3 linked regions of the Drosophila melanogaster genome follow. The protein of the gene in region 1 interacts with the protein of each later gene in a pairwise test. Each region holds a gene or a part of one and is shown in the gene's direction. Other genes may lie near its edges.

Region 1 (8,992 bases):
TGTTTGATTTCCAAATGTGCTTTGTACCAGTGAATGGGAATACGTATTCCCAAATGCTGTAATTTTAGGAATTTAGTCATTGGGTGTTGTCCCCCTGTGTGTTCCGATACTCAATAGATTTTTATAAGCTATTTCCGAATAATTTTCGGTACGATTTTATATACCTGCACTGAAAGTTTCGCTGCCATTCACAACTTTTAATTACCAAAAGATCATTAAAACGTACGAAGCTGCACAGAAAACATGAAAAGTTCTATCTTTAAACTTAATTAGAGTTCTTCGGCTTTGGCGACTTTATGACTTTTTGTTAGATGCTCATGATTTTGATGATAATGATCGCAGATGAGCCGTAAAATGAGTTGAATGCGTCGTTGCGTCAGTTGACTTTGATTAGTCAGATGAAATATATTCTCGAGTGTATATCACCAAACGATGAAATACTTACTAATACTATATACACCTGGATCACCTGCAAATCGCTGAGCAAACTCATAGTAAATACGCCTTTTTCCCTTTCCTGTCGTTGTGGAATTGAAACGCCAGTAAGCGGAAAAAGACAAATCGACTAGAATTTGTGTATCCACTTTTCACATACCGATCCGCACACATGGAGCCGTGATGAGATTGGTTCTTGTTTGGGATTTGGATTGGAATTGAATTGAATTAATTTAATTTGGTTCGATTGATTTATGGTCCAATCTGTGCTCTGGAAAACTGTGCCAAGTGGCGGCTCTGCTGCCGTCTAATGATCGAGCGTCTATATGCACGCCATACGAAAATAGTTTTATTTTTATAACTGTGTGCTGGTTTGGTTTCTTTTTTTTTATGGACTTCCCCCACAAACGCAATGGACGACCAAGATGATGGTGCTGATCATGATGATGATGATGATGTTGATGGCATCTGCCAATGCACACAGCTGTCTTCCGATGCCAACTATCCGTCCATGTACATACATACTTACTATTATATGTATATATCTAATCATGTACAGCGATATCTGGCCAAGGAAGTTGTAAACCACTCGGGTGGAGGCTGCCCATTAGGTTGTGATTTGTACCACGGGACTGGCAATTAAGACCGCCATCCACCTACTCCGGCTCCGAAATCCGTCTCCGCAAGAGACAAAGGCCGCGAAAAATGTGGGAAAATGTGGAAATCGCCAAGAAAATGCAGAAAATGTACGGCCAAGGGTGCAAGGGCGGGCTGGCGAAAACCGGGAAATCGGCAGGGTGGTATAAACAAAAACGACGACATGCCAAATGAAACGGCAAAACTTTCGGCAGTCGCAAAACAAAAAGACGTCGGAAAATGGCCGGACGTGCTAGTATGCGTATGTATAGGGTAAATAAATAAAACCGAAACTGAAAATTATGAAAAACAGGCGGCCGTAGTAGGTTGAAGTGGATTTTTGGATTTTCAAATATTTTTAGCCGAACGCCAGAGGCGAATATTTCGCCAGTCGAGTGGGATATTGGAAAGATGAAAAATTATCGCCAGAGTGTGTGCGAGTGTGGGTGTGTGTGTGTGTATCTGTGTGGGTGGGGTTCATCTGGGGACCTGGCAACAGGCACCGAAGAACGCCCACTTCTGTGGGAAGAGTACCGAATGGATCCTGGATCCGGGAACCCTACTCTCCAGCACTGAGCACTACGAATATTATATTGAATATTTGAATATTGAAACGGGGTAACGTCACCCGCTCGGGGGGTGGAATTTCCCCCTATTACTGCCAACTTTTCCGATCGCCTTTGGGAACTCTTGAAATCTTAAAAGCCAACCGTACACGCTGACGCTTCGCGACGCACTGCACCTACGCTCCAAAATTTTGAAAACTCAAAGACATTTAGAAAATTCTATTCACGAAATGAATGGACGAGCAAGCGGGACGGCGCTATTCGGATAGAAAGAGAAGACCTAGAGAATTGAAAAGAGAGGGAGAGAGCTGATCCCACACGATCCCATCCGATCGCGAGCCAAGGAGAAGGAGCCAGGCAATTTATGCTGGTGCTCAATGGCAGCAGATGGCAGCCCCACCACCAACTCCGACCACTCCACCCGCCCACGCCGCCTGGCATAGAAAAATCCGTGTCCAAAATGGGGCAAAAAAAAGGAAGAAAAGCAAGGGGAAATCGAACCAACCGATGAGTGCAGTTCGGCGTCAAAGTTCAAGCGCTTTTCGCAGTCGAGCGGGAAGAATTCTACACTTTCTACATTTCTTCCATGATCGGCTGTTTAGTCTAAACATGGGTGCGGCCACACCCAGTCTTCCAGCCGTATCCCCACTCCGGGTCCGGGTCCGGGTACGTGTCCGCACGACTACGGGTACGGGTACGGGTGTGTGGGTCTTGGTCTTGGTCTTAGTCAGCCGGTGTATCCGCACGTTGGCTGGGGGAAAATAAACAACAAAGGGGGAAAAGACACAAAAAGTAGAGAGCAGCGTATATGAACATTTTTATTCTCTAAACATTCCTGGATGTTTATGTTTTCCTCGTTTCTCGGGCGGAACTCGGCGTGCTCAAGTGCTGGGCCTCCGCTGAAACAAGATTCCGAATAGATTCTAAAACGCTTAGTTGGGGATCCCGTTTTCAGTTTTCAGTTTTCCGAACTGAAAGGCCGCCTCCCTCCCGCTTTTCAATTTAACTTTCTCTCACATTGTAAACATTTCACTTGACGCTTGATGCTAAATTTAACATTTTCGCCTTCGGAAAGGCAAAACAGGCAAATAAATTACGGAAATAAACAAAAATGAGCAACAGCAGTGGCAACAAATACCAAAAGTTACCTGCGCTTCGGATTGCGGTTTCTTTTATCGCTGGAGAACTGAAAACCAGAAACTATGTTGAGTGGAAATGGGAAATGCATGGGTGGCTAAAGGGCAGGAAAACTATAAAATCACGCCTGGGCTCGGAGGAGGAGGAGGAGGTCGATCTGGTTGGGACTCTATGCGCATAACTAGCCTGATCCCTCCTTAGATTATGTAATTTCATGGCTTACGTTTGCTTTTACAAAAACATTAATGTAATGATTAATTCACTCTTATCTTGTACAGCTTTCGCCAGAAATGACTTCAGTGCATAAGTGTATAAATTGAAAACCTTCACCCCAAATTATGAAAATTTTCCGTATTTAGGCGATTGAAAAAGATATAATCCTTTCGACTCTTCAACGCCAAACGGAATTATCCCAAATGCATGTCGTCATATCGCTCTGGTCAATTGAATCATGAATAAATTCTCTTGAACAAAGATAATGCATTCAAATTCAATGGAACTATAGTCAATTTCATCTATTTTCAAACAAATTAATTTTAGTAAATGAAAAGAGCAGTTAAAGTATGTAGAACAATGTATAGAAAGCAGGCTTAAAAACAACGCAGCTTTAAACAAAGCACGATATAGTTTAGTATTTGTTTCAGACTCAAAATCTTAAAATAGTTAATAGTCCTGTAAACAGTTATTGATCAGCAAGAAATTACACTTGTTTTACATTTTTGAAACAAAAGGGAGGCAGAAAAATTAGAGCAGTGGATTAAAGATGTTGGAGTGGCAGATATTTAAATTATACGTTTAATCCTATTTAAACATTTTCATAGTATACTCTTGTCATAGTTTTCGGCGGCGGCCTGCGGGCGTTTCATTGGGCGTGGCATATTGTGCATGGTTAATCTCTGGCTTTTAACTTTCTGGCTTTTGTGGTTCCAGAGGAACCGTACGGACGAGCCGACGGACATGGGTAAATACCTGTAACAAACTTTGAACGAATCTCTTTCTTAACTAAAAACGTGTATAAATTGGGAACGATGCACAAACCTTTTATTCAATTTTGTAATTTTATTTTGTTTTCTCCAGTTATATCAAGATTAACGAAAATTCTGGTGCTAAAAAGTCCCAGTCTCCATATCAAATTTGACAAGCACACAGTTTTTGATTAGACTCCAAAATTTTCTATCTTCCCCAGCAATGAGCGATAATGAGGATGGTGAGGAGCGGAAGGCATCGACCTTCGAGTCGATTATAGACAACATGTTCAGCCGGTTGCGGATCATCGCAGTGGACGTGGAGAAATTACAGAAGGCCAAGGAGAAGTTAAATATTATGCAACGGCGGAACACCTTCTACCATCTTCTAGGCCAAGAGGAAGAAGTCAGCATGAACCGTGGAAGCGAGATGGCGATTCTTCGATCCAAGTATTCCTTACATTCGGGTTTCAATCAGAATTGCAGCTCGGCCTCGGAGGAGGAACTCGACTTCGAGGAGTTAAGCGAGGATCCGTGCAACATATCTTTCGAGGAGGATCGCTGGCACGGTTTCTTCAAAGACTTTCAGATCCTGACCACCCCAGTCGGCACCGATCCCAACGAGAACCGCAAGTGTGTGGAACTGACTTCGATGACGAACTGCGATCTCGAGATCAAACACCATCTATGTGCGTTTACAGTTCGTTTGCGTAAACTCCTTATACACGCCACGTAATTTTTTAGAATTTTAAACTTCCAAGTTAGAACACATCTACATTTCTAGGAATATTTCATGGTCTTAATGGGTTTAAATCATCAATCCGAATTATGACATTTCTGAGACCCCCTATATACCTCTCTCTGCTTTTTTTTAGAATTATTAGCTAAAACCCTTTGCCTATATTTGGCATTTTTCTATAAGATCCATTTGTTATTGCACCACAACTCCTTACTTTCAGTGGGCGGAGTCCGCTGCTTTATGGTCAACCTTTTCGAGGGCACTCAGCATGACAACCAGAGCCTGATCGTAAAGCTGCGAGAGGCGGAGATCAGTGTTTCAAAGGAGTTGGGTTTTCCCGTGACGTCTTCAGTGATGGTGAAGATATCGCCGCGCCACCAGTTCACTGGCGGATTCAGCACTCAGTTCCGCCAGGAGGGCAAGAAGTGCGTTGAACTTGTGCAGGGCCAGAAGGTAATCCTGACCGTGGATCGGCAGTACTCGGATCGGAGCAACGCTGATGTTATATATGTGAATGCCCGCTTTTTGATCGTTGATGTACACCCCTTGGACTTTATTTTGATTGGCGAGGACATTCAACTGATGGTGCGGAGCATCCACGCGGACCACCTCAAGGGCTGTGTGGCCAGGGGAGGCATGCTGTATGCCCACATGCCTGTCTTATTCCCGGCGAGGTGTCGTCGTTTCCGGATCTCGTACGAGGAGCTAGAGGACCTTACCTTCGCCCGAGAGGTTGGCCTGAATGTGGTAGTATCCCATATCGTGGGGACCCCAAAGTACGTGGACAACTTGGAGCACGCGATGTCCGCTATGCACTGCGATGGCATGAGACTGTACGCTAGAGTGGTGCTCAACGAGGTCCAGGGCTGCAAAGGGGAGCTGAACTGGGCGATCAAACGCTACGACGGGTTCTTGGTGGAACTGGCGGAGCCGGCCACTGTTCCGGACATAATGCACCTGTGCCCCGACGCCGAGTGCTTTATGCAGTTGACATACGCTGCGAAGAAACCCATTATCTTTGATCCGCGGCTTTTGGATGAGCAAAAGCTTAGGGTGGACCCCGCGCACTACTATTACACGTTCTATTATCCGGACAAGTACGTGACCACGTGCCCGCAGCCGAAAGGTACAATCTACTTCCGCTTACTGCAATCCGCCATCTTCGAGCAGATCAGCCCAACGGCACTGGCCAATACTCCATACTGCGACCGATCTCACACTGGAGCGGATAGCTTGGCGCGTTCCGTGGTAACTGCCTCCATTGAAGTCCATGCGGTGGCCATCGTCGTGATCGGAGTCACCACGCGGATGGTGCAAAAGATCTCCCACTTTCGGCCCCACGCCCCCATTCTCTTCGTTAGCCACATGCGCTCCGCCGAGGATTACGTTTCCATTTACCACAACGTGACCATGCTTCCATTCCGCACCAAGTGCATTATTGCACATAGGCGGAACGTCTTCCTTAAGGCCATATACGCGTTGGCCTATTTGGTGAAGCGAAAGATCGCCAAGCAGAACGATCAGGTGATCCTGGTGTACAATTACGAGGATGGCACAAAGTTTCCTGAAAAGTACATCGTGTACAAGCTGGACAGAACTAACTTTGCGTCGCACATGGCGGAAATCCTGTTCCCTGTGGACCAGGACCAGATGCAGACCCTCAAGGAAATAGAAAAGACTTAGTTCCCAAGTGTGTGTAGATAGTTTATTTGCTTTGGTGAGTAATTGGAATGTTAACGCGTTGGCCTAGAATATACAAAACAGATACAGATAAATACATACATAAATATATAGATACACATTTCTACGCTGTACTAGGGGCTAATCAATTGCGGCTGTACAGAATCAATACCCGTAATCATATGAGGGAATTTCGTCGTTCTATGTATATACAGACTATTTACGGGAAATCAACACTTGTGTTTCTTATTCACCGAGACTTAACAATGCCAACAAGAAGTAACTAATTTTCTAAAACCTCATGTGTCGGCCTTTTCGGCAACGGAGCCCGAAATCTTTGAGCTGAGCCCGCTCAGGGGATTTTTTGCAGAGCTCTCGACGTCACGTGCTCATATGCGGCCTTCAGTGTAGTGTAGCAGTAGCCCGCCATTCCATTCATCTCGGCTTGGAAATTGGGGCCACCGGTCAGATCGTCCAATAAGGCCAGCTCCGCACCCAAGTGGGGAACAGCAGCGCGCAGCATCGTGAGCATGGTGAGCGGTATCATGTTGTCCGCATTGAGCTGGGCGGCATTAGCTGTGAGTCGGAACTGCTTAGTGAAACTATTTACGGATATCTGGACCTTTGAGACTCACCTGCCATGGCGTGTTCGTAGGCCTCAGTTAGTAGCTGCGTGCTCCGCTGTATCACAGTCAACATGTCCTGTGGACTAAACTTCTCCTGCAGTTCCTTTAACGTCTGCACGGACTCCACAAACTTGGGGTCCAACATTACATTGTGCAGAAAACTGAAAGCAAAATTGAAAATTACAAGAAAGATAAAATAGCGTAGACATTTTAGAATACCTTTCATGACCCATAAGTTCAACAAGCTCTTGGTCCTTTAGTTTCTCGGCAAGATTCAGATTCTGCCGATACATTTCGTCCTTTCGACTGTACTTATTTGCATACAGCACAAACAAAGTGGAGTAGATGCCCTCTGATAGCACGAGTGGGTATAATAGGGTAATATGCGATATGACTTCCCTGCTGCCCTCCATCTGGCAAAGTTCCTCGGGCAACGCTGGAAACATCTTCCGCACAAAGCGGTAAATGCGACGCGATATGGACTCCCACTCTCTCATGGCTTGCTTGGCCAAAATCGGGGTGGGTTTAACTTTCCAATAGCCATATGAGTAGTGGAAACAGTTGGCAATGCGCTCATTCAGCACGTACAGCGGGTGATGGCGATCCTTAAAAGCCTGCTCCAGGTACAAACGTATGGAGGTCACATCTTGCTCGGTAAGCACCAAAGCCATTCCAAAACTGGGTACCTGGTCCAGCACTGCACTCGTTGTAGACGTTGTTGATGTTATCGAGCAATCGATGTTGTTCATGTGCTTCGAAATGCTGTTATTGTTGTTGTGACTTAGTTTCGAAAAGCTTTCATTGAACGTGCTGGATTCATCGCCGTTGACAGTGCTGTTCATGAGGCTTTGGTCCAATTGGAAACTAGCCAGACTACTGTTGTCCAAGTCACGAGATGTATTGTGGCCCATAGAGATTAAGCTATCCGCTCTCTGCAATCCGCCTGGCTTGCTGTTCAGTGCCTCTTGGGATTGGATTCGTCGCGGTGGAAATCCCAAGAAGTCCAGCGCCGATGCAGCCTCCGTTTGCAGCTTGCTCAGTGCGCTGGTGGTGGTGCGGGCCTTTGCCAGTGGGGATGATGTTTTTTGCGGCAGCGGCAGACTGAGCAGGATGTTGTTAAAGTAGTTGCCAGGCTTTGTTCCTTCCCGAGCCCGCTGTTTGCTCATGTACACCGCTATGCAGTTCCAGATTTGGGCCGTGCTCAAAGTGGGTTTCGAGGATTTTCTGAGGGTGCCAGCTGATTGATTGCCTCCAGAGCTGCTAGTGCTTGCCGTGCAATTGGCAAGGTCCGATTCAAAGTTGTTAAACAATGATCGCCACTTGCGATTGTGATCTACCACTTGGCGCCCAAGGGAGCTGCAGTAAAGCCATTATATTATTTTTTCATTGAAGTACGTTTGTGGGTTCTTATTGACTCACCTGGGGTACTTAGGAAAGCGCCGATTTAGTACCAGTTCACCGGCCTGTATCCGCACCGTGTCCCAAGTACCACTAAGCTGTCCAAACATTTTGTTCCCAATAAGCTCGCAAGTGTCGTCGAACTCCCCGGTCCCCATGGCACCGCTTCCTCCACAGGCATCTCCACTGGGCATGTAGTATTCCCCCCGTCCGTTTGGGCCGAGGAGCGTGAGTTCGCCCTCGTAGTAATAGTCGTTCTCGAAGACAGCAACCCCACTGCCTGTGAGATCGTCTCCGGAGAAGCTGCCCTCGAAGTAGTCGCCGCGGTTGGTGATGCAGCTGCCGATTCCAGATCGCTTGTTATCCGCAAACATGCCCATGTACTTGTCCCCGCTAACCAGATCCTCTATCACTCCGTATCCACTGCGTGCATTGGCCTGGTACTCGCCCACGTAGATGTATCGGTTGTTCCGCATCACTCCATGGCCGTGAAACAGGCCCTCGCAAAAATTTCCTTCGTAGACTTCGCTCTCGGGGGAATCCTTACAGTGCATTTCGTAAACACCGTGGCCGTGGAACCGGCCACCTTTAAAGTTACCTACATACAGCCCCGTTGTCGGAATCACCATTTTGCCGAAACCTTAGGAATAACGTTCTTTTAATGCTTTTTTCTATCTCTAAACTATCGTTTTGGATGATCATCGATAATTTACATAGGAGCTATATAACTAAATAACACCCAGGTCAATTATAACTCACCTTCAATGATCCCGTGTTGCAGCTCTCCGCAGTATACACTTCCGTCTGGAT
Region 2 (8,815 bases), on another chromosome or scaffold:
CTCCACGCCCTATGCTAATTCCATTCGACACATCCGGGATCACTTATGTTCCCTGATATACTATAGTCTTTCAGCTCAGCCGGTTAATTAGCTTTTAGCGAGTGAGTGACCACTTGGGCCGATCTGCGACAGAAACAGAAGCTCGATTGCACCGGAACCCTGACACCCAACACGCGGGTATATGGCCCCTTTTTGCCGTTCTGCAACTAAATTGCCGAAACCCAATAATTCACACATTCGCCGCTGACTTTGATTGCTCCTTGTGGTTTCCAATTTCCAGGAGGGATCGAACGTTCGCTCGACAGAAGGGTTGAGGGTAAGGGTTGTTCGCCTGCCCAATAATATTTAATAACAATTGATATAAATATTGAAAGTATTATTGAGTCATAATATAGACTCCTTCGCCCTTTGGTTAGTCGTGAAATTTGACTCGCTTGTGGCATTTCTGATCCCATGTAATCTCGTCTAGCTTATCTTGGACCCCAGTTCGTCTAATAAATTACATTTGAACTGCTCAATTTTCAGAGCTATTCTATTCGGCGATAAAGGCTTATCGCAATGAGAAAATTATAACTAGAGAAGATAGTCCAGCTTCGAATTTCAGATCACAGCTCGTGGAAATCGTAAATAAGTCAGCAAGGAAGGGATTTTTAAAGCTGGTTGAAGTCTGACTGCCTGCATTTCCCCCACGTCCAATTAAAATAGCCTAGCTTCTCCGCAATCTCATTTAAATATCCCTACATCCTGTATCGTTTCTCACGGAAATCTTTCAGAATTTGTTCCATTTTTTCCTGGTCGTTTTTTCTCGACTCCACTGCAGTGTAACAAATTCCAATGGGTTTCAGAAATGCACGTTGTCGCCCCAACTTATGGTTAAATATTTGGAAAATCAGCCGCAGTCATAAATTGTAATCTTCAACGGGCGAGTTGCCGTTGAGGATCCTGGCGCAGTGGATGTCACTTAAGGGTATGTTATTGTTTTTTTAATACTTGTCCAGATGTTGCTATAAGGTTGCAGTTCATTCCGACGTCGCAACCGATGGAGTCCCATGTGTCAATGATTTTTCCCTTATTTAAATGCTGTCCCTGTTCGGTTTTTTCTCACACTATAGTTGTCGTTTAGCTAATTTGTGATTTTTGGTGTTTTCGGTGTTGGATTTGTTTTACGCTTGCCTAGGAAAACTATTTTCCGGCTATTGATTTCCATCGAGTGGTTGAATGACATAGAAGTGCTGGGATGATTTATTGACATGTTTACCGTTCCAAAGGGGGAATGATTACTCTTGGAGTTTGCAGTGTAGCCAGTTTGTCCCTGGGAAAATACTCCTATACACCTGTTTATTCAGTGAACGTCCTGGGGATATCCTGTCCAACCTGTGCGCACATCCTGCATCCGTATTTGCCTGAGGACATCCACCAGGAAATCGGACTGCTCCAAGATCACGTATGTAAGTATTCTAGAAAATATTATTTACCTACCGCTCTCACACTGGCTTAGGAAGAATATTGAGGAAATCCTGATAGCCGGCTTTCCCAAGGATATTCAACTACACGACAACAAAGCGGAAAATCCGAATTCTCCACAGTAATCCCCCCATTCCCCCGTGTGTTTTCAGAGCGCCTGCGCACAGGCCTCGGTGCAATGAGCGTAATTTGAAGACCGCGAGAAAGGCGATTTTGTTCACAGATTTCCAATTAGATTTTCCCACACAATGGAGCACATAGGGGCACCGGGGAAATTAGTCTCTTTATGCTTAATTAGGATTGCGTATTGAGTTTCCAGGAAGTGCTCCAAGCAAATTGCGGCAGTCAGTTGACAGTTGATCTCTGATCTACCTGGGCACAAGCTGCGGTCTCGCATTGTTTGCCGTTTAATTGCACTTTTGCAACTGCAACACACCCATAAAAATCTCAACCGCAGGGTCCAAAACAATCTGAGTCAAGTGTTTCTGCACGCAAACGAATGGATCCGAAAGGACTTCTACCTGCTGTCCAGTGCGCAGGCGCGACGGATTCGGTTTCGGTTTTAGTTTCAGCTGCTGTTTGTGTACACAGGACGAGGTTAGGAAAAAGGACGAGGAGCGGAAAACGGACATGGCTGGTGGACAGCACTTTTGGCACTCGTCTTGCGGTCTAGCGCACATGTGTTCAAATTTTGTGCTGTATCACCGCAGAGGGCTCAAACCAGAACGAGAGCCTGACTTGCGACACACTTGACGTTATTGTGACCATAAAAAAGGCTGGAGAGGGTTAAAACAAATATTAGTTAAAAGTAGGGAGTGAACATGGCTTGTTATAATATCAGGCGAAATGGTTAGGATAATCATGTTTCAACTATGTAGTTTTTATTCTTAAAACCAGAACTGAAGAGTAATAATTTCAGTCCGTCTTTACATGGACCATCTTTTTTTTTTTTGCGTACTTTCCCTTTTCCATCATTAAAATTCCAAATTTTGTGATATTTTTATATTTTTTGTGGTCCAAATTGAAGCAGAAGACAGTGCTAACGAGTTGCAGCATCTGCGGTTGGGGTTGAGTCTTCTGGCATGTGTCCGGATCGTCTTGATTGCCTCGTTTGCTGTTTAATCGCCGTTGACGGGCATAAATTTCGATCCATCCTGGGACACCCCTTTTCAGCTGATTTGTTTAGTAAACAAGCGGATTAGGCACCACGGAAATTCGAGAGCGCCCCAAGTTGGGAAGCCATCGAAGTGTTGCCCTGATTTCGGTAAGGTGAGATACTCAAATTGGGAAGTGCCCGAAATGGTTTCATTGACAACTGTCACCGCTCCGGACGCAAGCATTCAGACTGACGTTTCTATATTTGGAATCATTTCGGTAACTTGAAATTTCCCACAGTTTACCAACAGTTTTCGGAGAGACCACAATTAAAATTTAATTTTAAAGCACACACTAATTTAGTTTTTTTTTTCCCCTGACTAAAGCGTAGTCTAATTTTCCAATTTGAGCAGGAGTGCAACCCCTCAGTTTTAGTTTCTGGCGTGTCCCTGTCTCGATCCTTGTTCCTTTTTTCCGATCCTGTCGCAGGTGGCTCGTTTTAATGTTTTCAGTTTCCGAGGGGAAAGAGGGCTTGCGTGCCTTTTCCGCGACACAGAGATTTCTTCGGGCTTGGTGTACCAATTTTATAGTTTCCGGATCAAAAGATCACATCCTGCGGGAAGTATGACAGGATGCTTAGTTGACTTTGGTGGGAAAGTTTCATGGCGTTTCGTAATATTCCCCAAAACATATTCCTGTTTCTTTGTGGTTAGCTAATGATCTGTTTTGTCATGTAAAAAACATAAGTAAGAATTGTCTCTTGGGGTGCGGTGTGCTGAGGGAATTTCCAAAATAAGAACTAATTAAGACAACACGAAGGATAAGTTCAGTCTTGTGATTTTGTGTAAAAAGTATTGAAAAACTTGAGCAGCTTTTCTTGTTTAAGTAATTTGTTATTTCAAAATGATACCTAATTTCTGTCAAGTACACACTGAAATTTGTTGAAATAATTATTACCAAATTGATACCAATTTATACAATAGTACTTACCTTCCGAAATTCCCGGTTCATTTGATACTGGCCTATTACCATGCATCGATGGTTCTTTGCCAACGAGCGGGAGGAGTGTGAGCGAAAACCGGAGGAAGACGGTCCTAGTAGCGCTTCGGAGACACAAGAGCCACCACCTCCACCACCAGTTCCGACTACTGAGTGGCCCTTCTGTGTAGTCTTTCACAGTTCACTAAACGGTAATGAGTATGTTGCCATTAGTGGCAACTGTCCCTCTCTTGGAAACTGGGATCCCAAGGAGGTGTACATTTTGGCCAAGAATGACTGCATTAGCTGCCTATGCAATTGCCGTCAGTTTGAGGCAAGCTTAGAGATACCGCGTAACATCGACATCCACTATCGGTACTGCGTCGTGATCCACGATCCCGAGACGGATGAGGTGTATATACGCTTCTGGGAGTCCCAATTATATCCCAGAGTGATTCGAACTTGTCAGAACATGCTGAAGAACTGCGACGTCTTTGGAAAACCACACGACGATGATGAAGCGAACCAGGTGGATCGCGGCTGGGCCACCACAGAGACAATTGTGCACCTGAAGATCTTCAATGCTCCATTCTGTTGGCAACGTCAGAAACCGAGGCTCCTGTATGTCCATGTGCAGCCCATGTTTGAGGTGCCGGAGAATCCTTGTAACGAACCAGCCAATCCCATCAAAATGGTTTCGTCGCAAACACGTTTATCGCGTTATCTGAGCACCCGGGAAATTAAGGCAGGGAACCAGTATCTTCAATTGGCACAAGTCGAGGTGACCAATCTATGTGTCCAAAATGCTTTGGCCGCGCAGCAACGATTTGGAGCCAGATGTGGGCCGAAGGATATGGAGCTATTTCATTGTTCCATCGCTTTTCCGGAGGAAACGCTCTACCGACTGGATTTGTACACATACGCGCATAAAGCAGGCTATGATGAACCACCGTATCATTACGGGTACGGATTCCTGATGCCAGATCAGCTGCTGGGCACCGAAGGCTCTGCCCGGGTGAAGATCACTTGCGCCTCCACCCACCGTCCACTAATGGAGATGTGTGTACGCTATCTAATAATTCGACCTTTGCCAAATTTCCGTTGCGATTTGAGCCACAGCTACGAGCGTTACTGGCGCAAAAATCGCCTATGCATGAACATCGGGCACAAAGGATCGGGAAATACGTACCGGTTAGGATCCGATGTGGTAAGGGAGAATACCTTGTATGGTTTCAAGCAGGCTGTTTTGGCCAATGCAGACATGGTGGAGATGGATGTCCAGCTCACGCAGGATGCCCAGGTGGTGGTGTATCACGATTTTGTACTGCGATTTATGTTGCAGAGAATGCCTAGTTTTGAGGATCTTCTGGAGAATCAGGATCTGCTGATATTTGCCTACGAAAATCTTAACAAACTAATGCTCCTCGCTATGGGAGGATCAAAACGAAAAGACCTCATTGCCGTTCCCCTGGAGGCATTTTCCTACGATCAACTGAAGGAGGTGAAGGTCCTGCGATTCGCTGGCAGCAAAGGCTGCGATAAGTCCTGTGATCGAATGCTGCTGGAGCAGCGCCCCTTTCCCCTGCTCCTCGACCTCCTGGATGAGGAAAATCTACCCGTCGACATGGGCTTCCTAATCGAGATCAAGTGGCCGCAGATGACCAATATGCGGCGTTGGGAGAGCGGCAGCTTTAAGCCCACGTTCGATCGAAACTTCTATGTGGACACCATATTGGAGATTGTTTTAAATAAGGCTGGAAAGAGGCGCATAGTCTTTTGCAGCTTCGATGCCGACATCTGTGCCATGGTTCGGTTTAAGCAGAATGTATATCCCGTGACTTTACTACTGGAGGATCCGCACTCGCCGGTTCAGTATGCAGACCAAAGGGTAAGCGTGCAGGATGTTGCCGTGAGGTTTTGCAACAGTCTGGAGTTCCTTGGGCTGACCCTTCATGCTAACTCACTGCTGAACAAGCCCTCGACTATGGCATACCTGCACCAGATCAATCTGGACGCTTTTGTTTATGGTAGTTCCACCATTGACCTGGAGATCCGCAATAAGCTAAAGAAGCACGGAGTGCTGGGAATAATCTACGATCGTCTCGACCAACTGGACCAAGTGGGCGAAGAGCTGGAGGGGGACACCATGTGCACCATTGATTCAGTGACCACAAGGCGCGTGATCCAGGAGACGGAGGTGGAGGAGTGGATCCAGAAGTGTGGCTACAAGCCGGAAACTTCCATCGTCGTACATAACATTTACATCGACTGATGGTTTTCCCCACGTTCTGTTTTTGCCCCGGTGCCAAATAAAGTATAGAAAGTTATGTGCCCCGTGATAACAGTCCAAATACCCGTCCTGTAATCACCAGCCAACGTCCAAGTTGAACCATAAAGACAAAGGAGCATTACATGACTAAGCCGACAATATCCCACCAGACCAAAGCCAAAGTAACGACAATTGTCAATAGAAGGACCAAACGGACTGGAGGGCTAACCCCTTCGCACACCCCCCGCGAATTGGCAAACATTTTTCGCAAACACTCGCGCTGCGGATGATAAGCTTATGTGAACTATTGCCGGGTAGATAAACAAAGGACCTCCGGATGCGGAAGCTGCTGGCAGGAGAAGGGGTTAAGACGGTGCGGTCCAAAGTCCCGTTGGGCGGTCAAACGACATGGCATCGTAAATGATATCCCGTGGCGAATGGGTCTTCTTTATAGGCCAGTGCACACTTTAGCAACACTCTGTCGGGTCTTGGGCGCAACCCCTTCTTTCGTCCTGCCGTGGTATTGATACCCTTTTGCATGTGACTCACACCGTCGCGAAGACGTTCTCTCAGTGGGATGTGGGTTTGGTTGTTGTGCAACTTCCCCCATCCCATTGTGCTATTTATCATAATTTTTCAATTTAACACTGCCATACACGAGGGACACACAGCTCATATCCTTCTTCCTGGCATATAGTTTCCAATGTTTACTTGCGCAAACATCCTTTGACGAACTTTGCCCATTGTCCAGACTTCGCTTTGATGATGTGGCTTAGCCGTACCTTTGCATTTTTGCATTCTCATCGATTCCATCTTTCGCCATAGCTGTCCGTGTGTGTTTGTCCTGCCCAGGAAGGACATCGCTTCCGATCCTGCAGCCATCGTCCGTTAAGGATGACGTTATTAATGAGCATTTTGACACTTACGTCTTGACATTTGCACAGCTGGCCGTTTGTCTAAGGACTTTCGGCGATTGCAGCGAGTGGTAAAGGTCAACTATCTGCTTTCTTTTCGCCGAATACCGTTCGCATTTTAAATAAATGTGTAATTATGTTTGCTTTAGCCCGGGATTTGGGCAAACTTATTGGTGAAATTTGAATCTTGGTTCGGTTCAAGGAAATATTTGTATATTTATGTCAGCATAGGAATGTAAATATTTAAATAGGATTTGGGTATGGCATGATTGACTATGATTATCGCCTTATATTAGAATTATTATTGGAATGGGTAATTCCAAATTATAATAAAGTAATTTATGCTGCTAAGAAATAGCAGTGTTCTCTAATTCGAATCTTATACATTCTTAACTCCTCGTGCCCATTAAGCTCTCTCCAAGATGGTACTAAGATTGAATCATAAATCCCAAAAATATTAAAGCAAACTTTTGTGGCCCATGGGTCCCTTGGACATTGTCCGGTTCCAGCACACGGCAGCTGTCTTCGGGGCGATCGGATGACCACCCCATCCCGGTCGCTTCCAGCCCATTGCATTCCCTTGGTCTGGTCTTTGTCCGGGATTGTTTGCCTTCAATTTGACTACAAACCATAATTTATCTTTTCAGACGTGTTGGTCAGCGCGACAATGGCGGGCCAGCGACAAGGATTATTGATTATGCAAAGTGCCCGGTGCCCAGGACAATGCCGGGAAAACAAAGGCTTAAGCAAAGAGAAGAAAGGATTCCAAAGAAGTCTCAAGCTGGGCGAAGGGGTTGCTTTGGTTGCTCTACTCGTAGTGGCCAGCGGTCAGTGGAAGTTATGAAATATCCGTGCCGGAATCTGATGAGCCGAGAAAGTATCCCCTTACAGGACACAACGCGTGTGTTTTCGCCCATTAGAGAGATAATAGTTTTTGACATTGCTCGTCCGTTCGCCTCGGCTTCTCAACCTTTTCGGTGTTAATGGTCAGTTTCGCTATTTTGGCATGGTTAATTAATATCCCGATCGGGCAGAGTGTGAGAAAGTTGGAGGCAAAGGTGAGACTGGGCGAGTTGAGAGGCCTGAGCTGTTGACGGATGCTGATGGATTAGGGAAATAATTAATGGTTCCATTCCGATTCAACGGTATTTGACCGATAACTGGATCAGGTTTTGGCCACCAAATCGATGGCTATTACAGGGGTTATGACCCTTTGTTCAAACTAAACTGGTTTGATAGGGGAAAACGAAATGTCTATCAAATATTTACGATTTTTATAATCATCAGATAGATATACATATTTACTCCAAGCTAAATTGTTGTTTTCAAAAGAAATGAATTTCTTTCCACTCCTTTCAGAATTCAAGAATAAATATTGAAGCAATATGGCTTCCCTTGTTCAAACCGATCAATCGTAAGTACAAAGAGCTGTTTTCAGCAAAAAAAAAAAAAAAAACATTAATTCCAACGAATTGGGGGAAGAAGCTCGGTCTTCTTATTCGTTCTACAAGCTGTTTTCTTCTTGATGTTTCCACTCAGAGACCCAGTGTCGTTGCAGACAGTTGTTGATAAGAAGCATTTTGTTTCTACGAGTGCCTGATAAGCGCCATTTGAGAGAGCGACTGAGGCGAGGTCAATTGACCTGCTTTTAAGCAGAGACTTGTGCACGTCCGTTCATCAAAAAGTGCTTTCGAGATTGCCATTCCGCTACCTCTGCCTCCTCCTCGGACCGAAAAACCAACCGCGCTAATCTATCAGTCGAGTGTCCGTCTTTGTTTTCGTTCTGTCGGACTGTCAATTTCCAGGCCGAAAATGTAAACAAGCCGAGTGTATAGAGCGAAAAATATTAAAAAACTTCCACACGCTTATAACGAACAAATAAGTAGCTATAAATACATAAATATATACTCTACAGATGTCGCATCTTATCAGTCCGCTGAGGACCCAAAGTGATGTCCACATCAGGCGAGAGCTGTGAGATTAATTCTACACATAGTACATACATGGCTGCCCACTGAACTTTTGTCCTGCGACGAACAGCCGCATTCCCTGATCTTTGGCGACATCAATTTTTAGGGTGAACAATTTCAATTAG
Region 3 (7,170 bases), about 20 Mb from region 1:
TCCGCCCTTCTTCTGCTTCTTGTGCGCCCAGCCCCGTTCGTATCTGTGGAATTACATAAATATTAACTTGTACTTTTTATAAACATGTTTGCGCACCACAAACTGAGGATTGCCGTCCTGGTCATGTTGAATTCCGAGCGGAGGAAGGCTTCGATTGATATGATTTATACACTAAAGACTACTCCAAACGGGCTTCATTCCTGCGGAATAAGTTAGTTGCAGTGCAGCAAGTTTAGTCTATTGACATTAAACCTGATCTAAAAGTATCTTAGAGCAGCATTCTCGCATTAGAAGCTGGCTACAAATTACGTTCTGGTTTTTAATCAGACTGCGTACAGAGTTAATTAAAACATTACTGGGATCAATGATATAATTGTTTAATAATTAGAGCAACAATAGGAATAGCAATGCACTAACACTAATGTAATTGGTTATTTTAGTAAACTTTTATGAATTCATTGATTTTCTTACCAGTTTTATCCAGTTTTTCTTTCTTTGAGCAGGTTTGTACATTTTTTTCCCAAACCGCCTCGAAATAACACCAATGCCGCATTAATCAGCGTCAATAGAAGCAGCTCCTGTCCAAAAGGATCGCTAAGAGGACTCAGTTGCGTTCCTGTCACATTTCGCTTTGCATTTGCCATGCCGCATTTTTCCATCATTTTCTGCTTCTTCCCGGCGACACCCCCGCGCCCGCGCGAAATATGCGACAGCCCTGACGAATGACTTGACGGCGAAATGTGCTCAAACAAACATAAATTCCGTGTCCGCCGGGATTGGGATTTGTTGACTGCTCCTCCGAGTGGCTGTCCCGAGTTTCTCCCAATGTCCTGGCCAAAAACACGCAACGAGAAACGCCAGAAAAAGCCAAAGTTAACAAACGAAACGAAGGATTGCCAGGTGCGCGTGCTGCGCCAAACGAAATTGTAGTTTTTTGCGCGCGGATTGTGTCATAACTCAAGGAAATGATAAGGACGGATGGCCAATCCTTATCACCCAGCACGCGAATCGGTTTAAACTCACTCCAGCTCACTTTTTAAGCCAATTTAATGGGATTTTCGCGGAAAGAAAAACGAAACCGACGCGTCCACTTGAAACCGTAAGTTCTGCGATCAGCAAAAAAAAAACGTGTGGCAACATTGCCACTGGAAAACTTTAACCCTTGAGCTTCATCTCGACTTTTACATTTATAACTGTAAATAAACAAGTGCTTAACGATCGGTGTAAGTGTGTCCACACCACAATCGCTAAAAATTCCCGTTTAACCCCAATTACAAGCATGAAACACATTTTTTTTTAAAATTTAAATGTACTTTTATTTACAAGTTAAACAAAATGTGTAAATAGAAAATATGTAAATTTATGCTTTACTCTGTTGGTGCTTGGTCGTAATTGATTTCTTAAAGCTGGCAGTGCTCAGTTACGCTCGGCTATATCAAATTGAAACCGATTTACTTCAACATTTTGGAATATATTTAATATTATTTATCAGTTGTTGTTGAGGTAGTAATCTCAATTGCTATAAGGCCTGTAAAATTTAGAATAAATCGCTTGCATTGCCAATATATCGGTTTCCATATAGTCCTTAAAGCACACGCATATACATATATTTGTAATTCTAATTTACAGCTTGTGGAGTTTTATTCATTATTAGCTCCCATATAAAGTCTTCTGGTTCTTCTGGTTAATCTTAATAATATGTAGAAAATGTGTAATTCCTTGAGCATTATGTTACACCTAATCAGTTCGATTTGTTGTAAATATTCTCTTACGATTCTTACAATATGTTTGTACTTAACTAGCAAACAAAACAAAATAATTTACGTCGCATGACACGTAAGCAAACAATGAGATATTCATATCTGATCCTACAGATATAGGGTTAACAAAACAATAAACGCGAAACTTAATCGACGTCCAAAAACAATAAAAACTTCAATGTAACGCAATGAACAAAATGTAAGCAAAATATCAATTAAATACGAAACAAGGATCGAATTCTGATCATCCCTATCGCTTATCCTCCTGGGATTTCACACCTGGAAATCATTGAAAATGGTTTCCGTGACACGGATCTTCTCCACGCGTATATTGAACATCGCAAATCCATTCATGATGTTGAAGGCGATGGCGAAGACCACCAGCGCCAAGTACGTTCCCAAGGCGATCCACCAGAGCAGCTGCTCGTGGAGCTTCTGCTCAAAGCTCTTGAGCACCAGCAGCCCGATAGTTAGGCCAGCAATGGCACCAGCCAAATGGGCCACATACGAAACAGCACCCGCCGTTTCCGCCTGATCTATGGCCAGGAATTCACTCGATGATCCCAGCTGCAGTTCGTCGCCAGCATAGCGAGCATAGATGGCAAAGCCAAAGTCGAAGGAAACTAGAAGAAATTGAACTGTATTAACAACAACACTAAGGTGCGGTAGGCTAAACACTCACCGAAGACCAGAATGTGAAGCAGCTTGATGACTCCATAACGCATCTGGTGATAGTTGAGAAGCACATTGGCCAGGTGGGCGGCTAGCAAAGCGTATACTCCACCACTGGCGCCCACAAGGAACACATCCGGGTCAAAGATGCTAGTGCCCAGGCTTCCCGCCAGCACCCCGGAGAAGTAGATGCAGGCTATCCTCGTGGAACCATGAACCATCTCCAGTGGCAGCCCAAAAACCAGCTGAACTGCCACGTTAAAACCGAGATGCAGCCACCCGGCATGGAGTACCATGTAGAAGAGGAAGCGCCAGATCTCGTGACGCTTATCGGGACGGTAGATGAACATGGAGTCCGAGGGTATGGGTCCCCTTGGCGCCGCCTCACCCGTGACCACTGAGTGGTAAACAAAGAAACCCAGCTGGGGGAAAAGTAGTTAAGTAGTCAAGGGTCTGTTCAAGGAGAACTTAAACTTTCAACGCACCTCCACCAGAGTAACCAGGATGATGAAAAAAGGCGGCGGACAGCAGGTGTAGCGATCGGCGTAGTACTTGCGATCCCGCTCCTCGGGCAGGATCTCCATGGCCACGGCGTGCACCATTTTGCGAAAGAGTGGCGGTTCGTTTAGCACCAGCTGGAAATCGTTTTCGGAGCAGACTTCACGATCTCGATGGTGTACGGCGCACTTAAAGCTACGTGTCCGCTTGCCGCTCATCTGGAATTAAGTATGGAGGTTTAATCAGCAATAGTTGATGCATATTTAAGTGTAAAGATAACCTGCAATTACATATCTAGCTATGGTACTGCGATACCTTTTTCGATGTAATTGATATAGCAATATATGTATATTCCCTAAGATCGTTATATAAACACCACTTCGGGAGTAAGCAATATAACAAAACATTTACTAAGAACTTCGCTAAGAAGAAAGTGATTAGAAAATTTTCAAAATTGTTTCTACTATTTCGCCTATCAAAAAACTCTCCCATTTTAGTAGCCTTTTGATACAATTTCAGCAATTTATCAGCAAAGACTACAGAAAACTTCAGTACCTTTCTAACATCACTCGAATACGGATCAAACATAACTAGAAAATAAATCTTTTAGACAATTTCTAATTTCCAGTTTTACTACAAATCTTTTTCAAAATGTCGAAAATTTATCTGAAGGCCATGGAGGATGTGGTGCAGCGAAACACGGACAACACAAACCGGATTACGGAGCAGGCGCAGGGATTCGTGGTGTCGGAAAATGCCGGGGACAGTCTGCTGCACACTTCATTCGATTTGACCACGGCCCAGTCGATTGTGAAGCACCTGCACGCCAGTTTCCTGAAATTGGCCCAGAGCTGCGTCCGTGATCTGGATACCGATGATAAGCTGTGCTTTCTGCGCGTGAAAACCCGCAAGCACGAATTCCTGGTTAGTCCAGAGGAAGCCTTCACTGTGACCGTGGTATTGTAATCCCCCAGCCCATCTAGGGGTTAACAGTTTGGACATTGTTGCTTGCTGGTGGACAAGGGAGAGAAACACCAATACACACCCACTATCGCTACAGCTGTCTCACTCGCTCATTGTTGATGCTTTCGTTGAAGATCGTCGTACATGTTTAACCAACCCCCCACCCCCCACCCATCCAAAAAAGAAAAAAGAAATCTAGTCATAAAATTATAAAACGAACATTTATGCGTGTGACCGGACAAACTAAATTATGTTTATTATGTAATTAAGATGTTGGCACAGATGCCGATGTCAGCCATTAAAACAAACGCAGAGCGGGCAAAAATCCGCAAAAAGCGGAAAATAAGCATTGTGTTTAATTAAAAGTGAAGCCTACACGCAATTAAAATGCTCGTCTACGACGATTGCGAAAATAAAAAGGCCACAAATTAAGCTAGCCACGGCCTTAGGGCACAAAATAGTTACTTCCGCCAGTCTGGGAAGGGGGAATTTATGTATCTTCTAGTTAATCAGCGCTAGGCGGACTCTTAATGGCAGTAATTATCAAATTTTGTTTAATTGATAAGCCTCCTCTGGAGGACTGGAGGCTATGTCACTGGAATATCATATGGGTGGCTACTCTGTTCTTGCGCGGGTGTGCACTAAATACTCCCTTCCAGGGAAAGCGCCGTTTTTCTTGTATTTTGTTATGTACATATTAACTGTAATATTATTCACATTCTCCGAGCATTTCACTTACGCAACGAAACAGCAGCGTTCCTGCTTTATTAACTTAATAATCCTTATAAATTTTTCATTACGATTAAAGTTTAAACACAATGAACACTTAACATTGAAAAAACGACCGAATTTACAACTTTCCCGCCAGCGTGCCGAAGTTTCTATTCGCGCTCTGCGCTTTGTACTCTTATCCTCCTAGTTCTATTTCCATTCATTCCGCTTAGTAGTGTTGCACAACGCCAGCTGATCGATCATCGAATCTAGAGCGCTAAGATCAAAAATAAACAGAAATCAGATTTTACTTCCGAGTTTCCGATTTGGGCCAATTTCTGGGTATTAAATTGTTTCGATTCGCAGACAAAGGGCGCAGAGAATCTGTGTTGTCAACAATGGGAACACCCACACGCATTGTGGCCGTGTGACAAGTCGCATTTTCGGCAAGATCAAGCGATCACAACAAAGTGCCAACAGGGCCAATAGGGCGAAATTGTATTCCCAACAAATGATTGCTTATCGTTTGTTTGGCGGACGCTGGCTGCTGCGGCTGATAATGTCATTATCCTGGGCGCAGAGCAGCGCAAGGAGTCCGAGTCCTGCACGCCGCATGACGTCACCAGGTAGGCGACTTCACCGCCATTTAACGGTGCTAAAAGCAGACGGCACAGTTGTGAGCAAAAAAATAGGAGCGCCACCTATAAATGTACTTGCAACTCTTAAAATTACAGTTTACTTATTAAATTGAAGAGAGTTTACTTGAAATTGTGTGTGATCAAATTTCTATACAGGTATGTACTTTAACCAACCCTACCACTATTATCTTGGCCTCTGCTGTAACCTCGCTTCATTCACCTTTTGCAGGACAAGCCGACAAATTGACGCAAAACATTTAACGCTGGAAATTGGGATTGGGATTGGGATCGGGTCGGCAGACATGGTCAAGCGGGACAGGACAGGAGCGAGGAGTGAGGGGATCGAAAGGCGAAGGACCACAGGACGACGTGGCCGGCTCGGCTCTCTCGCTCGCTCGCTCTGCGAGCCACAAAAAATTCCTTTGAATTGCGTCCGTTGCAGCAGGAGCACACAAACACGGCGACATGTATTTTCCGCATTTTTTGTTGCCTTCTGCCTGTGGCTATGCGCAAAAAAGGACATCTCCGCCGGCGGTGGCAGGATGACGGTGGTCCACAGGATCGGTGGTTCGTTGGTTCGGAGGTATTGTGTGTCCTCTATTATGCATTGCGTACGGCCTCGCCCGGCGTGTTGACATTTTTATTCCAAACAGTTGAGCAATATTTATAAACTGGCCGAAAAAAAAGGAGCGGGAGGTGCTGGAGAGGAGCAGGAGAGGAGCAGGAGGAGGATGATGCGGGGGTCATGGTGCATGATGCATGCCCAATGGCTTTATTTCCGGGTGACCGTGTAAAACGTGCTCGTGGTTTGCAGCCTATTAAATGAGCTATTTGATTAACATTGTTCGTTGTTACGCTAATGAAAGGACAAAAGCGAATATTTGGACTACGAGGCACAAAGGACACAGGCCCGAAGCCATTTTACAGGACAATTCATAAAAACATTTATAATGCAGAGCATGATATTTATATTCCATGCATGCAAGGAAGCTATGCATATTTATATTTGTAAAACGTTTTTTAAAAGCAAGGCAAAGTCAAGACTGAGTATTGATTTGAATATTATTTTAATCTAATTAAAAAGATTACTCAACTTATATAAGAATAATCTAATCCTCGAGATTGACCCTAGCCTTTTGCAATAAGCACTTAACTTTCCACAAACAACAATGTTCATAAACATCAGGCAATTCAAATATTTCTACATTAATCGAAATTGTACAATTTACTCTGCCACTCAATTACTTTGTTTTTCTTTGGCAGCTTATTAAATGCCACATTCTACATGCCCAGGAGCGAGGACCCAGCATCTGTTGATGTTTGCACGGGCGAAACACCTTGGAGTCCGGGGTAAAACCGCACGAGCCCAACCAGATGATGATCTAATTGAATGACAATATTATGCCAGGCCTAATTCAATTTGCATTCCTTGGGAAGAGGTGCAGATGGAGGAGCGAAGGATATGGGGCTGAATCTTAAACAAACACGACAATTACTGCCGACGGATGCACTTGTCCGGCCAAATGACTTGGTCCCGTAATTAGCCCGGGGATGAAAGGATGCGGGATGGCTTCCCGTTTTTCGGTCCTTGGTCCTTTGTCGGCCTCCTCGGGGGTCCGTCTAATTATCACATTTTTACTCATTAAATTCACATTTGCCCGTTTTTTTTTTTTTTCGTTGCTTTTCCCCCTTTTTGGCAGGTCCTGCGCGGATCCTGCTGTCTAATTACAGGGTAATCAGGCTTTCAGCCGCCCAGACCAGCGAATGATGATTGATTGAGGGTGTGGTAGTAGTAGCATCGTAAAATCATACCACATAACTTCCTCGCTTAACTCATTTCCATTCCAGGTGACATCTGCCCAAGCGCGTGCCATGCCAAGGTGCTTCGAGGAAAGTGCAAACAGCAGATGTAATGGATATGGAAAGGC

What was found. Proteins that work in one complex are often made in the same cells at the same time.
Region 2: the proteins of CG11249 (region 1) and CG3942 interact in a two-hybrid assay, tested with the Drosophila melanogaster proteins (one large-scale study listed by BioGRID).
Region 3: the proteins of CG11249 (region 1) and robl62A interact in a two-hybrid assay, tested with the Drosophila melanogaster proteins (one large-scale study listed by BioGRID).

What each region holds. Positions count from the first base shown.
Region 1 is NT_037436.4:21,668,229-21,677,220, forward strand, and holds CG11249 (uncharacterized protein), read left to right. Parts: upstream 1-3,910; 5' UTR 3,911-3,962; coding exon 3,963-4,428; intron 4,429-4,698; coding exon 4,699-6,161; 3' UTR 6,162-6,290; downstream 6,291-8,992. Other genes in the region: Als2 (amyotrophic lateral sclerosis 2), read right to left, coding at 6,511-6,734, 6,794-6,945, 7,004-8,140, 8,204-8,822, 8,942-8,992.
Region 2 is NT_033777.3:12,250,718-12,259,532, forward strand, and holds CG3942 (uncharacterized protein), read left to right. Parts: upstream 1-3,469; 5' UTR 3,470-3,589; coding exon 3,590-5,809; 3' UTR 5,810-5,875; downstream 5,876-8,815.
Region 3 is NT_037436.4:1,474,140-1,481,309, forward strand, and holds robl62A (robl62A), read left to right. Parts: upstream 1-3,479; 5' UTR 3,480-3,581; coding exon 3,582-3,896; 3' UTR 3,897-4,230; downstream 4,231-7,170. Other genes in the region: stet (stem cell tumor), read right to left, coding at 2,034-2,383, 2,443-2,854, 2,918-3,148.